3 linked regions of the Drosophila melanogaster genome follow. The protein of the gene in region 3 purifies or fractionates together with the protein of the main gene of each other region. This does not show direct contact. Each region holds a gene or a part of one and is shown on either strand. Other genes may lie near its edges. The genes, in order: beat-IIa, 18w and side-IV.

What was found.
Region 1: the proteins of side-IV (region 3) and beat-IIa purify together in Drosophila melanogaster (affinity purification with western blotting; one large-scale study listed by BioGRID). This does not show direct contact.
Region 2: the proteins of side-IV (region 3) and 18w purify together in Drosophila melanogaster (affinity purification with western blotting; one large-scale study listed by BioGRID). This does not show direct contact.

What each region holds. Positions count from the first base shown.
Region 1 is NT_033777.3:17,363,011-17,368,074, forward strand, and holds the start of beat-IIa (beaten path IIa), read right to left. Parts: upstream 3,110-5,064; 5' UTR 2,756-3,109; intron 1-2,755.
Region 2 is NT_033778.4:20,109,579-20,117,454, reverse strand, and holds 18w (18 wheeler), read right to left. Parts: upstream 5,945-7,876; 5' UTR 5,571-5,944; coding exon 1,413-5,570; 3' UTR 523-1,412; downstream 1-522.
Region 3 is NT_033777.3:13,448,716-13,453,592, reverse strand, and holds the start of side-IV (sidestep IV), read right to left. Parts: upstream 3,004-4,877; 5' UTR 2,665-3,003; intron 1,376-2,664; 5' UTR 1,163-1,375; intron 1-1,162.

The sequences.
Region 1 (5,064 bases), 3.9 Mb from region 3:
CCCCGGCTTGATAGAAATCATGCTGAGTTGTGAAACGTAAAATTGAATTTACTCTGCCGCTCTGCCCACATTACCCCACTCACACCGAGATTTTCCATGTGGCCGACAGTTTTTCACGCTTTTCCCCACCAATTGTGAGCGGGACAAAGTCTGCTGACTGCGTCGACCCGTTCCAGTCATAAATCATTGGGCATTTGCCATATGCAAAGGGCTATTGCTATCACTAAGTCCGGCATTAAACTCGGCTTTGACTTTCATTCACCCAAAAATATAACATGTACAGCTGCGTCCAAAACCCGAGTTATAGTTGGTCAAGAGCTATAATAGGCACGAATCTTTTTATTTTTGCTTAATCAAACTTGGAAATACTGCCAAATTTTAATTCAGATTGAGATAAGGATTCTTTTTCCCTTAACTTCTAATCCTTTGCTACTAATTCTTTTACCACTAATATTTCAAACAGCACTGTAGATTTTCTCACCATCGATACCCTTATCAAATGTACAACGTTTTCCTGGTAGGTGAAATTTGCTGGTTTTGCAAAAACAAAAGCTAATGATTTAGTCTATGTAAAATGTATATCTCAAGCCAAACTCTGCATGTAATCAGCTTAAAGTAGCCCAATGGAAGTGATTCAATTGAATCCGGACGAGTGGAGTTGAGTGAGTTGTCGACTGTCTATTGTTGTCTGTTCGGTTGAATTGTTCATGTAACTGTTGCGGTCTTGGCCATGTTTGCAGCCATTCCTGTTTATTTAAATGTAATTAATCTCAGTAGAGCTCAGACTTCGGACTGGCCGCAGATCCAGCTTTATCATCTCATTTGGATTCAGGTTGGGGCTTAGGCAATTAGTTGCCAGCTAAGTGGGCGCTGTTGAAAGTGGGCGGGGCCAGCGGCTCCTGTAAAATCTCATTTCCCTCGGCCCGGCAGGATAATCCTTATTTGGCTCTACAAGCCGTTTATGTTTAGTTTTTGGACCCTCATCTCCAGCGCCAGGGGAAATGGTATCTTCATAAACAATATAGATAAGTGAATAATCAGCAGTGGCCCACAGCTGGATGTTGAACAAGAGATGAACGATTAGTTCTGGAGCCCACTCATAAATAAGTTGTACTTCTGCAAACACCTTTCTAGATGTTTTAATTAAAAGTGCTTGTTTCTTTAAACTTGATTAAACTTAATTATAGCACACAGTGTTGCATCAGTATATAGGATTAATATATCTATTTTTTATTCATGGTGGGGAGTTTCTGATTATTCCATTTAAAATCCTTTTCCTTGCGTTCCATTTTTGTATCTGAAATGATTTTTTGCCAACGGTTTTGGCTTTAAAAGCGAACGCAATCTAACCGGCCCCAGTGTAATTAATCCAATTTCGTTGTGCGATATTTCACACTTAAAAATCAAACTCTGGCAATTTGTTACACTCCCTCGCACGCACCCGAGCACCCGAATCTGAACCAGGAATCCAACCCAAGCCCAAACCCAAACCGATGCAGAATACGAGCCAACGATACACATGAGACGACGCCGCTTGAAGCGTACTGAAGTGGAGCAAATGGTGAACGGAGATGGGGCGGATCGGATCGAATGGGATGGGATCGGGCGGGCGTTTGGTTGGTAGTACGTGAGCCCCGCCAAAAGTTGCGCAAATAAATGGCAGTGAAATTTTATAGCACACTTGATAATTTCAGCAATAATTCAGAGCGGCTAATCACCGCATAAATAATCTTAAGGACAGCCCTGCTAAGCTCCACTCGCCACAGCAAGTACATCGGACCAATGCGCATATATGCGCCCGATTTATATGTACTCGTATTTATTTGTCTACTTCGCACTGACTGTGCACAGTGCATGTGACGGTAGAAACAAAAAACAAACTAGGGGGAAAAACATCCAGAGACACTTGGAGACAAAAAAAAAAAGAACAGAAATTGAAATAGGAATAGGAATATATATGTACTCCGATATAGAGAAGTGATGGCTAAGCGGCGGAACAGAGAAGCAAACACGGACCAGCAGCATCCAAAACTCATGAAATCGAGAGCTCGCTCGAATGGAACGTGAGCGAAATTTTTGCTAACGAATGTTGACTCTGCCAAAGTACTAAAATCAAATAAAGCCAACAGCTACAACCAAAACAAAAACAGCAAATCAAACAAAATCAACAATCACTTGGTAGAAGTTAGCCCAAGTTGATGAAGACAAACGCTGGACTGCGCCAAACGGAGACGAAGTTTTCGGACAAACTATTCGGTCATATTACAAAAAATTAATATATAGATATAGAGCATCGCCAACTTGTGGATCAGTCAGTATTTAGAAGGAGCAAACAAAAGCCGTAAATCCATAAAATTAACTTTCAGCTGGCAAGTCACGGTTACGGGGTCCCAACTCAAGATCCTGTTTTTGGTATTGTCTGACTGTCAGTCTGTCAGTGGAAAAACAACGAGGACCACAAAAATGTAGGTTATACACATACACACACACACAAATACACAAGCTCACGCATACACACAAATAAAATAGAAGGAGATACATTGCGTATACGCCGCATGTGCCACGCGAATAGCGGAAAAGAAATAAAAGGCAGAAAAACAACAAAATAAGAAATTTAATGCGAACGCTGCGTGAACCGAAAGTTTAAAGCCAACCAAATGGCAGTCAGGATGGCAATAATTTGTATAACTTTATGACGGCACAGGATCTAAGACTCCTATGCCCCCGAAAAATTAAACTTGCTTGAATAATTTACCAGCAAATTCGCAGACTCCAACTCCAAGCGTGGTGGTATCACTTGATTTTATTTTTCGAGTTTAACTGACGCAATGTTTGAACACTTTTCAACCTAAGCACTTTTCCTTCGAATTGTTTGAACTTGATTATATCAGCGAGCTTTGCACTTTAATGTATTTCCTCTATGGGGCTAACATTCACTCTCATATTTCCTTGGGTGTTTTTGTATTTTTTTCTTATTTTTTATGATTTTTGTTTTTATTTTCCGCACCAAACAATTCGCTGGCCAGGCTCGTGGAGCACGGCGATGGCTTCCACTTTCCACTTTCACTGCCAAACCGACCGTTAAATTCAACGTTCGCCACGCATCTGACTGATTTGCTCGCTGGCCATCAGATATGCACGGAGGCTGTGTACACGCACCCAGAAATCGGAGTCGGCATATTTCGTCACCCGAACGACGTCCTCGCCTCCATTCGTGGGCATTCGTGGTCTCCGACTCTCGTTTCCGGACGGATTGTATAACACTGGGCCGTGATTTTGAATCGGCTAAGAGAGAATGTCCCTGGAATTCGCCGTGTTCGGTGCAAGCCTTTCTGAGTTACCTATGGTCATGGTTAAGAGAATTATGTCTGTGAAGAGAATCTCGGAATCAGCTGAGCGTAGAACAGTTATCTGGGCGAGGGAAAGGTCCTTCATCGTCTGAGGATAATAGTGGGAGCAGACTTTTGAAATTAACAGCTGTTTCTGTTGAAGTGCGCAGAAGCAGATTAGGTATAAAAACAGTAAAAAATAGTGGTAACAGAACAAAAGCTGGTTTTTGATAACCGTATAGATAGTAATATAAAGGCAATCAAGATTCGCATATGCACTTTTAGTGCGAAAAGTTAATGCATTATAATTACATACCACAAAAAAACGTGAGAATCATCTTATAGTTGTTCCATACTATTTTAGCGCCTTAATTTCGTTATTTTTATAATGAGAATGTTTTGAATTTGCCAAGCTAATGAATTTCCGAAATATTAATCCCAATTTACTATTAATTATGCAAGTGAAAATGGCTGGCAGTTTCTCATATCCAATATTAAGTACCTTTCCCAGAACGATGCACTCATAAAACAGTTCCATGCCCCCCAACCACCCAATCACCAAAAACTCTGTTCGCCGTTCTCGGGGCACTCAAATAAAAATGATTGTGCGAAAGACGTAAAGCAAACAGCCAAGTCACAGATCAATATAATGAACCACCGAAAACCAAGCCAGAATCCGCAACAAATTGCCGGGGAGTCGGAGGCTAACGCTGCAGTGGCTCAATGTGGATTTTGATTTAAGTTTTAGCACTGCCGCGCACTTATCGAGCAATTGAGGAACAGGAACTGCGGGGGACAGGGGATGTCATATGCGGCATTCCAATGAGAGCCGAAAGTTATTTGCAATACACGAATACGAATACGAATCGATACGATATGGCCACCCAAAGTTGATATATGTGCGGCGAGCTGGTATCATCCCAAAGTGCACATCATGATTTTATTAAATGGACTCTGATGTATTTATTGTCCAGCAACAACGTGACTTGTGAATTGATTTCATTAAACTGAAAAAGTTAACAAAGCATCGCAGCTCGGCCCCGGCAACATTTTTTGGACAAAGTTGCCCAGATACCCGGATCGCCGGATAGCCATAGCCATAGCCATGGCCGTGCAGTCCGGCCGTATATCGCCATATAGATAAATATTTTTTTATAGCAATATGTGCGAGTGTGTGCTGGCTTAAGGACATCTATCGTTAGTGGCCAGGAGTGGAGACGAAGGATGAGTGAGCCTCAATGACCAATGGCAACAGCGGCGCGCATCGAGCGTGGAATATCAATGTAGTCGAGTGGCCAGGAACGGAACCATCACCAAAACGAGCACCATCCAAATTCAACCAACTGGCTGCCTGCCTGACTGACTGACAGACTGACCGAATGTCAGTGTGGTCCTGGCCTGCCATCCTGGATGGTTCTTGGCCCGAACTGCTTTTTGTTGACCGCTGTTCGCCACAAATTGCCAAATTGTGTGAGTGTGCGGCTTTGGCTTTGGCTTTCGATTTGGCTACGGCTTTGGCCAGTTTCATTTTGTACAAATAATGATGATAATGTTGATGCGGCTGTTGACTTAACGCACATAACGCTGATTAGCCACATAGTCCGAGAAAGCAATAGCATTCCCCATATGCTCTGGGTCTTAATTGAAGTGATACCAATTTAGCCCCAGATTCCAGAAATGGTACGCATATATAATGTATTCCACGTCCTATAAAATGCTAAGAAAATATGTGAGT
Region 2 (7,876 bases), on a different chromosome or scaffold from region 3:
AAAAACGGGGAATATGCAATTGCAAATGGCGAGTTAAGCAAATGTGCAAAATACAATTTTCGCATTGGACCGCATTTTAATTTTGTTTTATAATTTCGCAAATAATAATTTACATAAAAGAATGTCCGAGTGTGGGAGTGGTTGTGGCATATGCAAAGTGTTTGTTTGAGTGCGTTTTCCATTAATTTATTTATGTACAATTATTTACAAGCAATTAACTTGCGCATAGCTTTTGTTTAGTTGGTTTTCGCAATTCAGTTATGCGTTTGGGTTTTAGTTAACGTTTGCATTGTGACCTTTTGCATTTCGCACAGATCAAATGCCGAATGGAAATGAATAAACTACCATTTTCCTCTTTCAGTCCTTCTGGGAATAGTGTCAGTTGCATGTTTGGGGACACAGCAGGCTTCGCTTCTGCGAAAACCATAGGTGCTTTAATTAATTTTTATCATTTTGGTGTTGCTTCAAACAAAAATTCCCCCTGAATTCCACCCGGGATGAGTAAGAAAACGTGTGTGATTTAATTTTTGTCAATATTTTGTAATGTTTTTGCATTTTATTTTCTCAGATATATTTCTCTGCTTGGTTTTATGTAATTGTAATAATTAATTTAATAATACATTTTTTCATTAAGTAAATTTAATTGAATTAATTTAGCTCCATCATCTCTATACAGTACGATACATAAATACATTAAGTGCTCTAAATGGGTTTGCTCCTGCGATTTTTCTATATACATATAAGTTTATCAAGTATTCATTTAGTTATTGTTTCGTGTAGCTTAGGATGAATGAATCGACAAACACGATCAACTGGATGCGAACGAATGTGTGTACATATTTCATTAGGTTTACTTTAAGTTGTAGTTAACAATAGTTTAGTTTAGTTTAGTTTTAGGTTTACGTTCTTTACGCCTGGCTAGAACTACTACATACGTCTACGCATTACAGTAAGGGGCATACTCTCGTCTGCCGATTTAATTATAGTTAATTAATATATCACATTGAATTTGAAAGTGTTTCTGCAACATTTCTAGTAATTGTTTCTTTACGTTTATGGTAATTATATTAGAATAATGTATTCCTATATGCTCGTATATGAATGTGTTGTGGGCGTGTCTTGTGCGTGTTCCTTATTTGGCAGTGCTACACAACTACGAAACTTCAACAACCACAACATCCAAAGGCGAAATGCTCCGACAAAAAAAATACGTATAAATATATTGTGTTTCAAGAAATGCCTACGAAAAGTCTTTTTGTTTTGGATGTGAGTGTGTTGGTGTGTGCGTCCTGTTCCTGCTTCCTCTTCCCGAGTCCTTTTACGCCAGTGAGCGATCAGCTTCAAGATGGCCGCTCCTGCGGAGAAGAACCCTGCGAGGCTGAGTGAGATGGATATGGCCATAGGGGGAGTTTTTAGACCAGGAAAGCTTGGCCGTTCTTATTGGCCGCTTCACTGCCAGCTGCCTGTTGCTGCTGCTGTTGCTGTTGCTGCTGCGCCGCTGCTGCGGATGTGGAGGCCTGGGCCGTTGACTGAGTGCTGGTGCTGGCCTGGCTCAAACCACTGCCGCTGCGCAGGTGCACCGGCGCGGAAGGAGCGGGAATCGCCTGCTGCGGCATCGCCCGGAACTGCGGTTGCAGCAAGCGCTGTTGCTGCTGCTGTTGTTGTTGCTGATGCAGACGCAACTGCTGCTGCTGGTGCTGATGCATTAGGCCCGTGGGAATCATCGACAGCGCCTCATGCTGATCATACGCACTGTACTCCGACTCGATGCTGTGGTAGATGTGCTCTGAGGGCGGACGCATCGGCATGGGCATAGAGTCCACGATCCTAGCGGCTCCTCCTGGTCTCGTTGGGCGTGGTGATGGCGTGGCCGTGGTGGCTGAGCTATAGTTCGCCTCCATTTCCTCGGTGCAGTAGTAGGCTGGCGGTGGTGGCGCCTGGCGGAAGATCATGCCCGGCGACACTGGCTGCTTGAAGCGCTCATGATGGTCCAATGTGTAGTTGTTTCCACGGGGCGACAGCTCAATTGGGATGGCGTAGCGCAGCTTCTCCCAGAAGTATCTGTCGCAGGTCAGCAGTCGGTTGGAGGGTACCGATTTCAAGTACGGCGACAACTCGGCAACGTCCTCGGCCTCGGCGGAAACACTTGTCTCCTCGATGATCACCAGCTTCTGGGCCAAGCCCCTCAGGGACTCGTGGAAAGCATTACGGAACTCAATGCGATTCCATTCGGTGGCCAAGAGATTGCGGGTCAGCACCAGGATGATCTTCCTCGACGCCCTTGCTCCCTCCACCAGCTGAAGGTGGGATGCCTGGGGAGGCAGATCTCGCTGCTGAATGCAGAGCCGGAAGGGTGGTCGACCATGCTCCAGTTCGGCGGCGATGTTGCGGCACACAAACTCGTAGTCCTTCTCCGAGTGCAGGATGATGGCGTCGTACAGTTTGCCGGCATCCTCGAAGCGGGGCTCGCACACCCTGACTCCGTAGTGGGCGAAGAGCCACATGCGCACGCTCTCGCGGAAGACGAAGACAATGATGAGCACCACGACCAGGAAGATCAGCACTAGCACAGCGGCCAACAAGGGCAGCCTATAGCCTCCGGCCAAATCCTGCGAGGAGCTGATATTGCTGGCACTGGCATCCAGAAGGTCGGAACAATCGGGTCCGTTGGCCAGGTTGCCAATCAGTTCCAGCTCGCGCTTGATGCCCGCATCCAAGCAGTAGATATCGTGGGCATCCCGCACCACCATGGCGTTATCGGAGACAAACTGCGCCAATTCCCTCAACTGCTGGCAGCGGCATGACCAGGCATTTCTGCCCAGCGTCAGTCCCTGGAGGCTGTGACGATATTGCAAATGGGGCAGGGAACTCAGGCGGTTGTTGTCCAGACGCAGCACCTCCAGGGACACCAGTGGCTCAAAGGTGGCATTCGAGATGTGGGTCAGCATGTTGTTGTGCAGATACAGCTCCCGCAAAAGTCCCAGGGAGCGGAACTCGGTGCCTTCCAGGGCGGTTAGTTTGTTGTTCTCCAAGTGGAGCACTCGAAGATTGACCAACTGGGCCAGACTTCCGTTCTGCAGCGTCATCAGATTGGAGGCGTTCAGGTAGAGAGCCCGCAGATTGCGACGACCGGTTAGGTGGCCAACCTCCAGCTCGGGCATGTTGTTGCCATCCAAGTAGAGATCGCTCACATCCTGAGGGATACGGTTGGGCAGGGCGGCCAGATCCTGGCGACCGCAGTCCACGATGTTGGTGGCCCAGGTGGCGTCGTGGAAGCAGCTGCAGTTTCCAGGGCAGATCACTTCACACTCGCACTGTTCGTACTCGCAGCAGTGGCACGTGGGCGGGCAGTGGCTCTCATACTTGCACACAAAGTCGGAGGCGGAGAGACTGGCCAGCGGACGCAGTGGAGCACTGCGGCTGTGCGGCATCAGGCACTCGATGTTTCCCAGATCCACAACATGAGGATGCTGGCGGGTGGTCAGATTGTTAATCCTCTGCAGCCACTCCATGGAGCAATCGCACTCAAAGGGATTGCCGCCCAGGTAAAACTCGGGAACTGGTTTCTCCGCTGAAACTGGGGCTACGCGTAGAGCATTAAGCGAGATTTTGGACAGCACATTGGCATACAGATCCACGCGTGCCAGACGCGTCTTGTCCACAAAGGTGTTGGCCTGGATCTGTCCAATGATGTTGTTGTTGATGAACAGCAGCTCGATGGAATTCGGCACCGACATGGCGCCAATCTCCGTGATGCGGTTGTGAGAGGCATCCAGCGTGGTCACACGAATCTCCTCTTGCAGTTTGTAGTAGTTGCCCAGGGCTTCGATGTAGTTTCCATGGATATCCAGCCATTTCAAGTTCGATGGGATGAAGGCGTAATCGAACCAAACAAGGTGATTCTCGGAGAGATTCAGCCACAGCAAGGAGGCGAGAGTGGCAAAGATTCCATTGATGTCGGTGAGGAAGTTCTTGTCCAATCGGATCGCCTCGATCTCGGTGTTTTTGTCGAAGGCTCCACGCTCGATGCTCTGGATGCGGTTCTTGGCCAGGTTGAGAACACTCAAACGGGGCAGATCCTGAAACATGCCTACGGTGATGTTGCCGATGCGATTGTCGATCAATCGCAGACCCGTCAGCTGATTGAGATTGCGGAAGGTGTTGTTCTTGAATTCCGAGATCTGATTCTCTCCGAGATCGAGAGTCTTGAGCATGCTCAAATCTTGCACAGCCTCGGGCACTTCAGTCAGCTGATTGGAGCTGAGATCCAGTTCCTTCAGATCGGAACAGTTGCGGAAGGCTTGCGACTCCACAATGCTAACAAGATTGTTGTTTAGCGTGAGTTTCGTCAGCACATACAATCCGTTGAAGATGCGGTTGTCCAGTGTGTGCAGGCGATTCTCGGCGAGATTGAGGGTGTGCAGATTGTACAGGGGCAGGAATGCGCCCTCCTCAATGTGGCCAATGGAGTTGTTTCGCATGTCCAGAATCTGCAGGAAGTACAGCTCCTTGAAGGTTTTGGATCCAATGCGGGTGAGGGCATTGTTCGACAGATTCAGCACAATCAGGCGGATCAGACCGGCGAAGGTGCTGTTGTCAACATGGTGGCTGGTCAGCTGATTGCCACTCAGATCGAGAACTAACAGCTGCTCCAGACGGTGCAACAGACCTTTGGGCAATTCGTACAGATCATTGCCCTGCAGATGCAGTTCCCTCAACTCCTTGTTGCCGGCAAAGGCTTCTGAGGGCAGGGAAACGAGGTGGTTGTACGAGATATTCAGCACTCGCAGCGAACTCAGACCGGCCAGGGCATTGGGAGCCAGGGTGCTGATGTTGTTGTGTTGCAGGCTGAGGGTCTGCAGGCGCCTCAATCGGGACGCTCCCCAGGCATCCGGCAAAGAACGCAGCTCGTTGAACGAGACATCCAATGTCTGCAGCTCTGAGCCTCCGCTAACTGCTCCATTGGCATTGCTCAGGGCTGAGCCGGCACAGAGTTTCTCGGAGAAGCCTAGGAACTCGGCGGAACGTATCCGGTTCTGGGTGAGATTGAGCAGTTGCAGGCTGGGCATGGAGCACCAGACGCCCTCGGGCAACTGACGGATATTGTTGTCGCCCAAGTGCAGCTCGGACAGCTCCTTCAGTCCCTGGAACGACTGGCCGTGCAACTCCAGGGTCTTTCCCGGACCCCAGACCGCGTTGTGTGACTCCAGGGTGAGTCGCTTGAGCGACATCAGACCCTCAAATGCATTTGGAGGCACTCGCTGCAGTTTGCAGGCATCGATTCGCAGCTCCGAGAGCTTCTGCAGTTGCCGGAAGAGTCCCGGTGCCAGTTCACTGGCATGCAGGAGCTCCTGGCTGCACTGCAGATCCAGGCGGCCGGCCGCCTCCGCCACCTGGAGGTCAAGTGGCGTTCCGGTGCCGGACTCCAGAGCGCGGACACTGCACCGGATGTCCATGGTGGTGAGGCCGTACTGCCAGTTGCACTGCTGCTGCGCATGCGCATCAGCCACAAGAAGCAACAGGCAGGCAGCGACTGCGATGATGGTGATGATGGAAGATGTGGCTGGCATTTTGGTGATTTGCTAGTTGGCTAGTTAACTTTAAATGAATTTGTTTAATTTGTAGCTTTTTAGCTGTAGGTTGTGGGTTGCGTTGGTGGTGCACAACTCAATCACTTTCTGGTTTTCATTTTTCGATCGCCTTTTTCGCAGCCCGAGTGCTCTGTAATCCTGGTGTGAGCTGGCTTTGCGTTTTGCGATTTTTCACTTTCGTTTCGTTTCTTTGTGATTTCTCTCAACTCAACTCATAAGTTGGTAACTTGCGTATTTTATAATAATAATTTTAACTTGGCACTTGGCGCGACTCAGGGTGTTCGACTTCGTTTCGTTCGGCGAGAGCTCGTTTTCTCAAAACATGTTTACCGCCTCGCGTTTCGATTCAAACTGATTGCTGGAGTTGGCCATCTCGACTCCGTTGGCTCGTTGAAAATGTGAAACCGACGACGGCGCTGCCGAGCTGGCAGAGCTCACACACACACAGCCGGCGCCGCGGCAGACAGACAACACGGTACGCGTGCATGTGCATGTGCATGTGCAATGCACTCTCACGAGCGAGCACACACACATGCCACGCTGTCGCTGCGCTGCTTTCGCTCTCTGCTCTGCTGCTGATACACGCACACACACAAGCACTGCATTTCCTGCCTGCTGCATATGTCGCTCACACACACGCTTGGGAGAGCGGAGCTCTCTCTCTCTCTCCCCGAAAGTAGGGGAAATGTTGCACACACACATGGGCATGGAATGGGGGAAACAGAAATCATTAACCCTACGCTGCGCTCTCTCAGATTTCCGTCCACACAATTAGCACTAGGAAATGGAATAATTCCGTGGGGTTAGGATGGGTTATCAGCTATCACTGATAGTTCGACTTGCCTCAAGTGGGAATTATTTCAAAATTAACTGAGGGCATTAAAAAGCTATCTGATCATTTGTAAGTGCACTGTATTAAATCGATGCTTTTACAAATATAAACAAATATATAGCAGTGGTTCGGCTTATTAACACTTATTTCAATTTAAAGATCACAAAATTGAATTTAAATAAAGTTTTGTCTTCTTATTTTGTATAAATAACTTTAGAAATTGTGTATTTCCAACCGCCTAGATTCTATATAGGGTTAATAGAACCTGCAACAGGCTGCTGCTGCTGCTAGTTGGCAACATTTCGCCCCTGCCCACCCCCTTAACGATGAAAATTCTCCGGCTCAGTTCGCTTTGTCGCCTCGTGTTGCACTCGCGATATGTGTTGCATGTATATGGTGTAGTATGTTGCCTCAGTTTCAGCATGTTGCATGCTGCTTGCCTCTTAACAGCTGCTGATGTTGCTGCTGTTGTTGCAGTTGCAATTGCTTTTACTGTTGCTGCTAGTGCTTTTGGTGCTTTGGACCACGTTTTCTGCGGTTCTCCGCAGTGTTTTGTTGTCGTAAAATGCCTAATCTATTGTCGTATGCTAAATATATTTTAGTAATATTGGTGGTGTGTGTTGCAGCAGTTGCTGTCAAACATTTCATTGGGCTTCTTGGTGGGAGTTCGAATTTGTGACATTTGCACTGGCAGACTAGTCTTTAGGTTTCTTGTAGCGAAGTAAAAACTCCTGTAAATCCCGTTTTTTTTTTTTAGAATTGAAAACATCCGTAATGGGTTGTTTGAGTTTTGACTTTGCTGCCATTTCAAGTGGTGAAATTATTTGCTACACAAAAAAAGCCACACATATTTGGCACTTTGAGTGGCTCATGGAAACTTGTTGGTGCTCTTTATTGCCATTGCCATTTGCTTCATCATAATTTTCAGGTTTATTTACTCGCAGCTACTGCTGATGCTCGCCTCTCGGACCATAAATATCGCACATGAGTGTTGCATGCGACGGCAACAGCAGCACCATCAGTAGTAGCAATATTACAGTTTGAATACCACTATTATGCCAACTTGTGATTGCAACTGCGGCAAATGGGCTTCACGGAACTCCGGATGGTTTAGCGTCACTTGGGTTCGCTGTTCTAATTTCGCAGGTCTCTATCACCTGGCTGGCTTTTTCGGCTGTCGACTTATGCCACTTAAAATTACATTAAAAAACTTTCCGCCAAGAGCAACAACTTTGCTGCTGCTGCCCTACTCCCCAAAAAAAAACTGAAAGCTACAAAAAAAAAAAAAACAAGAAACGTAGAGTTGGAAACTTTGCCCGGCTTTTGCCATCCCAATGCTGCTGCCGTTCTAGTTGCTGTTGCTATTGGTGTTCCTCCTGTTGCTGCTGCGTTTCTGTCCCGCTTTGTTTTTGTGGCGTTGCAAATATGAAACTTTTGTTACTTAATTATTTTG
Region 3 (4,877 bases):
CCTTTCTCCCAGCGGAGAATCCGCAGAAGTCGTAAACTTGATTTCCTATGCACTCAAATCGGTGGCCCCATGGGCGCTTTGTTCGCACATGGAGGTGCGAATTTTTCAGCCTGAAAGCAGATCAACGATATTTGCATACTCCAACAAACTAAAACTAGGGATGCCGTACGACTATCTGCGGGGAATTGGAGGTGTATGGGGGACTCGGACTCATCGTCGGCATTAATAAGTATAAATAACTCTTTGATGGGCAGCCGGTCGTGAGCTGGCCGGCGACTTTAGTTTGTTTAGTTTGCTGGCCATTTGTACAAAACACCTTTAGCTTCTACACGAAATATGACAAGAAATCAACCGAAACCGGTTTCGGCGTTCGATGTAATGTGATTTTTGTGAGAAATAGCCAGAAAAAAGCCCCACACTGGAAAAAATATTGTCCTAGGCTGACCAAGATATTATTTAAATAAAATGAGTACAACATATTTTATTTTGAAAACATTGCGGTAGCACAATGCTTATAAAGAAATGCTAATTCAATATGATGAAACGTATTCATTGGAATCTTCTTTTGAAAAATTCGTAAGCATTTCTAATCTTAAAATATGTGTTTTTCGACTTTTGACTTTATTACGATATAACTGGTTTCACATTATGGCTAAGCACACAATTGTTTTAATGGATTTCTGCTGTTGTACTAGACACGCTGACATTTAATAATTTTATAAGAAAAAACAATTATATTTCTTGCAGTGCATAGGAAAGCCGAGGAAAAGGCAGCAGTGTACGGATACGCCATGCTTGAAATGCTAAAAGATGTTTGTGAGCCCCGTTTGCTGGGTTGCCGATGTTGTCTCTGTTGCCGGTTGCTGTGGTGTTGCTAATTAAGATTACAGACATCGATACTTTTCGAAAAGCAGTGGCACGTACACATATGCTATAGCCTTTAGCCGCCCATATAGTATAACCCGATATGCGAGTAGCAAGATGGCCAGAAGCAAAGGCAAGGCAAGGCATCGGCTGATAGCCTCCCTAAAGTGCTACATCAACGCCGAGTGACAGCGATGAGGCTGTGGCTCCTGGCTTATTAATTATGTAGCTTAATTTGCGATTATGCAGATATGCATGAGCATAAATTTTGAGGGAAATAAGCAGCCAGATAACTCACCTGCTAATGTATGTGCATATATCCCGTCCGATTTCATTCAATATTCCATGTTGTTTTTATACTGCCCTGCTACAGTTTGCTTCGCGTTGTTTGATTTCGATTCGATTTCGACTATGCTTTTGGTTTGGTTTGGATTTGTTACTTTGTTTTATTTTGTTGGCCAGCTAGTTTTTTCTCTAATGAGCCGCAGACACGCCGTCTGAACGGATGAATCTGCGATGAAACCGAAAGAGATAGATGGTTAAGAAACCCGAACCTCTTAACGAACTTGAAACTCGCACAAAAACCAATTGCACTCTTAATTGGCCAAGATTTACGTTTCGCACCTCCCTTGGCAATTTAGTTTTGATTTCGTTAAGCTCACACTTCATTTACTATATATCCATACATATATATACATATATATGTATGCACTATCCGCACGTTTGTCATTGTGGCCAAGTGTAATCAAGTGCCGTGGAGGATCTCTCGAATCTGCTCTCGTTTTGACAACTATTACCATAACAAATCAGCGCGCCTGCCACTGACAGGGCCAATTGAACTGAACCGCGCACAGGGAGCGATGACAAAAAAATATTTACACGGCGCCCGACTATCGTAGGGCCGGGTTAAAGGGACATCTGATTGTGGAAGGTGTCTGGAGGGGAGTGGTTCAGGGATCAGGGGAAATGGCAACGAGTCACCAAACAACGACGCCCGTGCCGAGGCCATATCCTTGCAGCCTTGTAGTCCGTATTCCTTCTCTCTGTTTTTTTTTTTTTGTTGTATGCCACAGTCGTAAATTCCAATTATCGACGAACTCGAGGCACGGCACCGCAAACCGAGCAGCCAGCCCTTCCTTCGAGTGGAGTGGATCCGCTGAAGTGGTGGCAACTGGAGTTGGGAACTGGGGGAAGCGGAAGGGAGCTTGGAACCGAAGTGGAGCAATTTTCAAAGTCAGCCGCGGCAACGTTTGTTGCTATTTTAGTCTGCCGGGATTTTCATAAGATTTTTTCCGCTTTTATAAATATTTCTTTTTCCATGGCTAATCCTTGAGGTTTCAGACAGAGAATTCAGCCGCCCGTTGTTGTCGTGGTTTTTAACAAAATAATTTAAATACTTTTGCAGCAGTTCTTGGGGGCTTGGGGGAATGCAATTATATAAAGGCTTCGAACTATTTTACTCAAAAACTCAGCAATACGAAATTTGCTTTACGTTAATTGAATAAATTCCAATTTGGTAGGCAATATTTTACTGCATTACAAGTTTAAACCATGACCTTTTTCTTATGTTTTTTAAATTTATACTCAGCACTCAAAGTATTATGATAAACTTTAAAGGGTCATTGGAGTTAGTAAGCCACTGAGTAACTTTACAAGTTTAATTTTTCAATAGCTTTTAGCACATGTTTAAGTCAGAAATTAAGATTTCGTTTTTATTGAAGAGATTTTGGTAAATACAAGGCCCATTAGAGATTCGAGTGCTGTTGTAAACCGGTAAGATTTAATCCGACGATGCATTACCACTTGGCCAATGGTTGGGATTATACTTGGCTTGGCTCCTTGAGGCCACACACTTTTGCGATTGCTTGTATTCATTCATTAGGGGTATATTTGCATTTATCACTTTTGATGGTTTTTGGGGTTTATGATGGTTTTATTAAGCACTTGGCCACCAAATCCTGTATCCTGAGCACAATGCCAAACACCTCTTCTATGGCTACTCACACAGATACACCGCACTTGTGCGTTTGCAGAGCCGACTTCACTTGTGTGTGGGTGCGAATACGCGTTGGTGTGCGTTACGTTGCGAGTGTGTGAGTGTACGAGTGTGTCCGTGTTTCGGTGTGTGTGTGTGTATTTGTGCGAGGGAGCGCTTTAAATGGAAACCCTGGTGCGAACGGATTGGGCTACATTTCCACTTGGACCGCTCGCGTTTTCCGACAGCAACATGTGTACCGTTATAGCTTCGCGTATCTACTGGATACCCATCGTCGGAGTTCCACTCGTCGATGCGTTTTCCTCGCGACGTCTGCTTTGATTTGAGTTCGAAACTCGAAATTCGAATAGCCAGCCGAAGAGAAATGCCCGAAAGAGCGAGCCACACGAAACTTGGCATACGATATTCGGATCTTAACAGCGACCTATATCGTATGCGTATGCCTTTAGCCCTCCTGCTTTAAAAGCCACTACTAAAAGTGGTATTGACAAATTTCCTCTTCTTACGGGTCGCCAACAAAAGAACCCACCACCCACTTTCTGCTTATTTATGCGTAAAGATTGCCCCTCAATCCGGAGATATTCGCTGCGATGGGCGATAAAAGTTGTCGCTGTAAAAGTAATTAGAGCTAGACACGATTACACCATGTTCCATATCGGCAGCAGATACTCCCTGCTTAACAGATGAATAATCGTTTTGGCAAATATTCGCGGATGTTGTTGGGGGATTTCCACATTAAGTTAGGCCCAAGTATTAGGCCTGCTTGACTTGAAAGTTGTTGCCTAGATGATAGAAAAGCATTTTAAATTGCTATTCAGCGATGGCAAAACTTATGAAGATATTAAGAAACCTTTGTTTATTTATTGTCTATAAAATTGGACATCTAATTTTTTGTATGTAGTACATTAGCTTACTACAATTTGGTTTATAGCAACATTTTAAAATACACTTACAAAGGAAACTTAAACAAATTGTATTATAATCATTCTTCGATTTTTCCTAATAGTGTTTTTAACCTAAATACTTTATTTAAACGAGCATCTTTTAAAAGATTTTCTTCGAAAATGTTAAGAAAAGAAAATTCCAATTCGGATTTTGTTTTATTGTTTGAATGCAAACAGCGGTAAATGGATTATTTTTGTTTAAATTTGTACTTCCTGCATGCATCCGCTACATATTAAGAAAAATTACACCTTAGTACACAGCAAATTAAAGCCAAGTAAAATATTTTTCAAGCACTGGAAAATGAGGCCTGTCGGAAATGAGCCTTCGCGATGAATAATAATCCCCTAGACAGCCAATTGGAAATTAATTAAATCGAACAATATTTGCTCGCCTGAATTATTCACTTTTGCGGCACAACATTGCGCCTTAATTCAGATTCGACCAGAGCAGATGTTATTCATCATGCGAGTGCTGCTGCATTGTTGTTCTTTATCAAGTGATTGATGCGCAATATCCACACAATTTGATATGGAAAGGAAGTAGTAAAGAAGCGCCCGAGCAATTTGCGCCCGGCCAAAACCAAACCAAAAAGCCAGAGAAAAATCCCCGCCGAGTGCAGTCACCTGGGATTGGGGAATGGTGAATGGTGAATGGGGGATCGAACTCCATTGGGTGCCCGTGCCTGGCCTGGACTCGAATCGATTCCCCTCCCGTTTCTATGGAATCTGCGTCGGGTCGGTGCCGTGCTGGGCATTAAATCGTTAAAGTAACATATACAAATTAATGCAAACAAATACACGAGTGCCGCATGAAATGCATTCGACTCCCAGACATTTCTCTCCAATGACCTGACCGTTTGGTGGTGCTCCAGATCTTGTCAATAGTTACGACTTTCCGATGTGCCACGGAATGCTAAACAGATCAAAAGCCTGGCACGTGAATGCGCCGCGCCGCATCCCCCAAGATAAACCGACTCCCAAATATCCCGAAAAACCTGGACTGACAGCCACGAGGTGTGAGAATTCTCAAGTGAGATGGCAGTGCACTCAGCCCCAGTCGCCAGCACACCAGA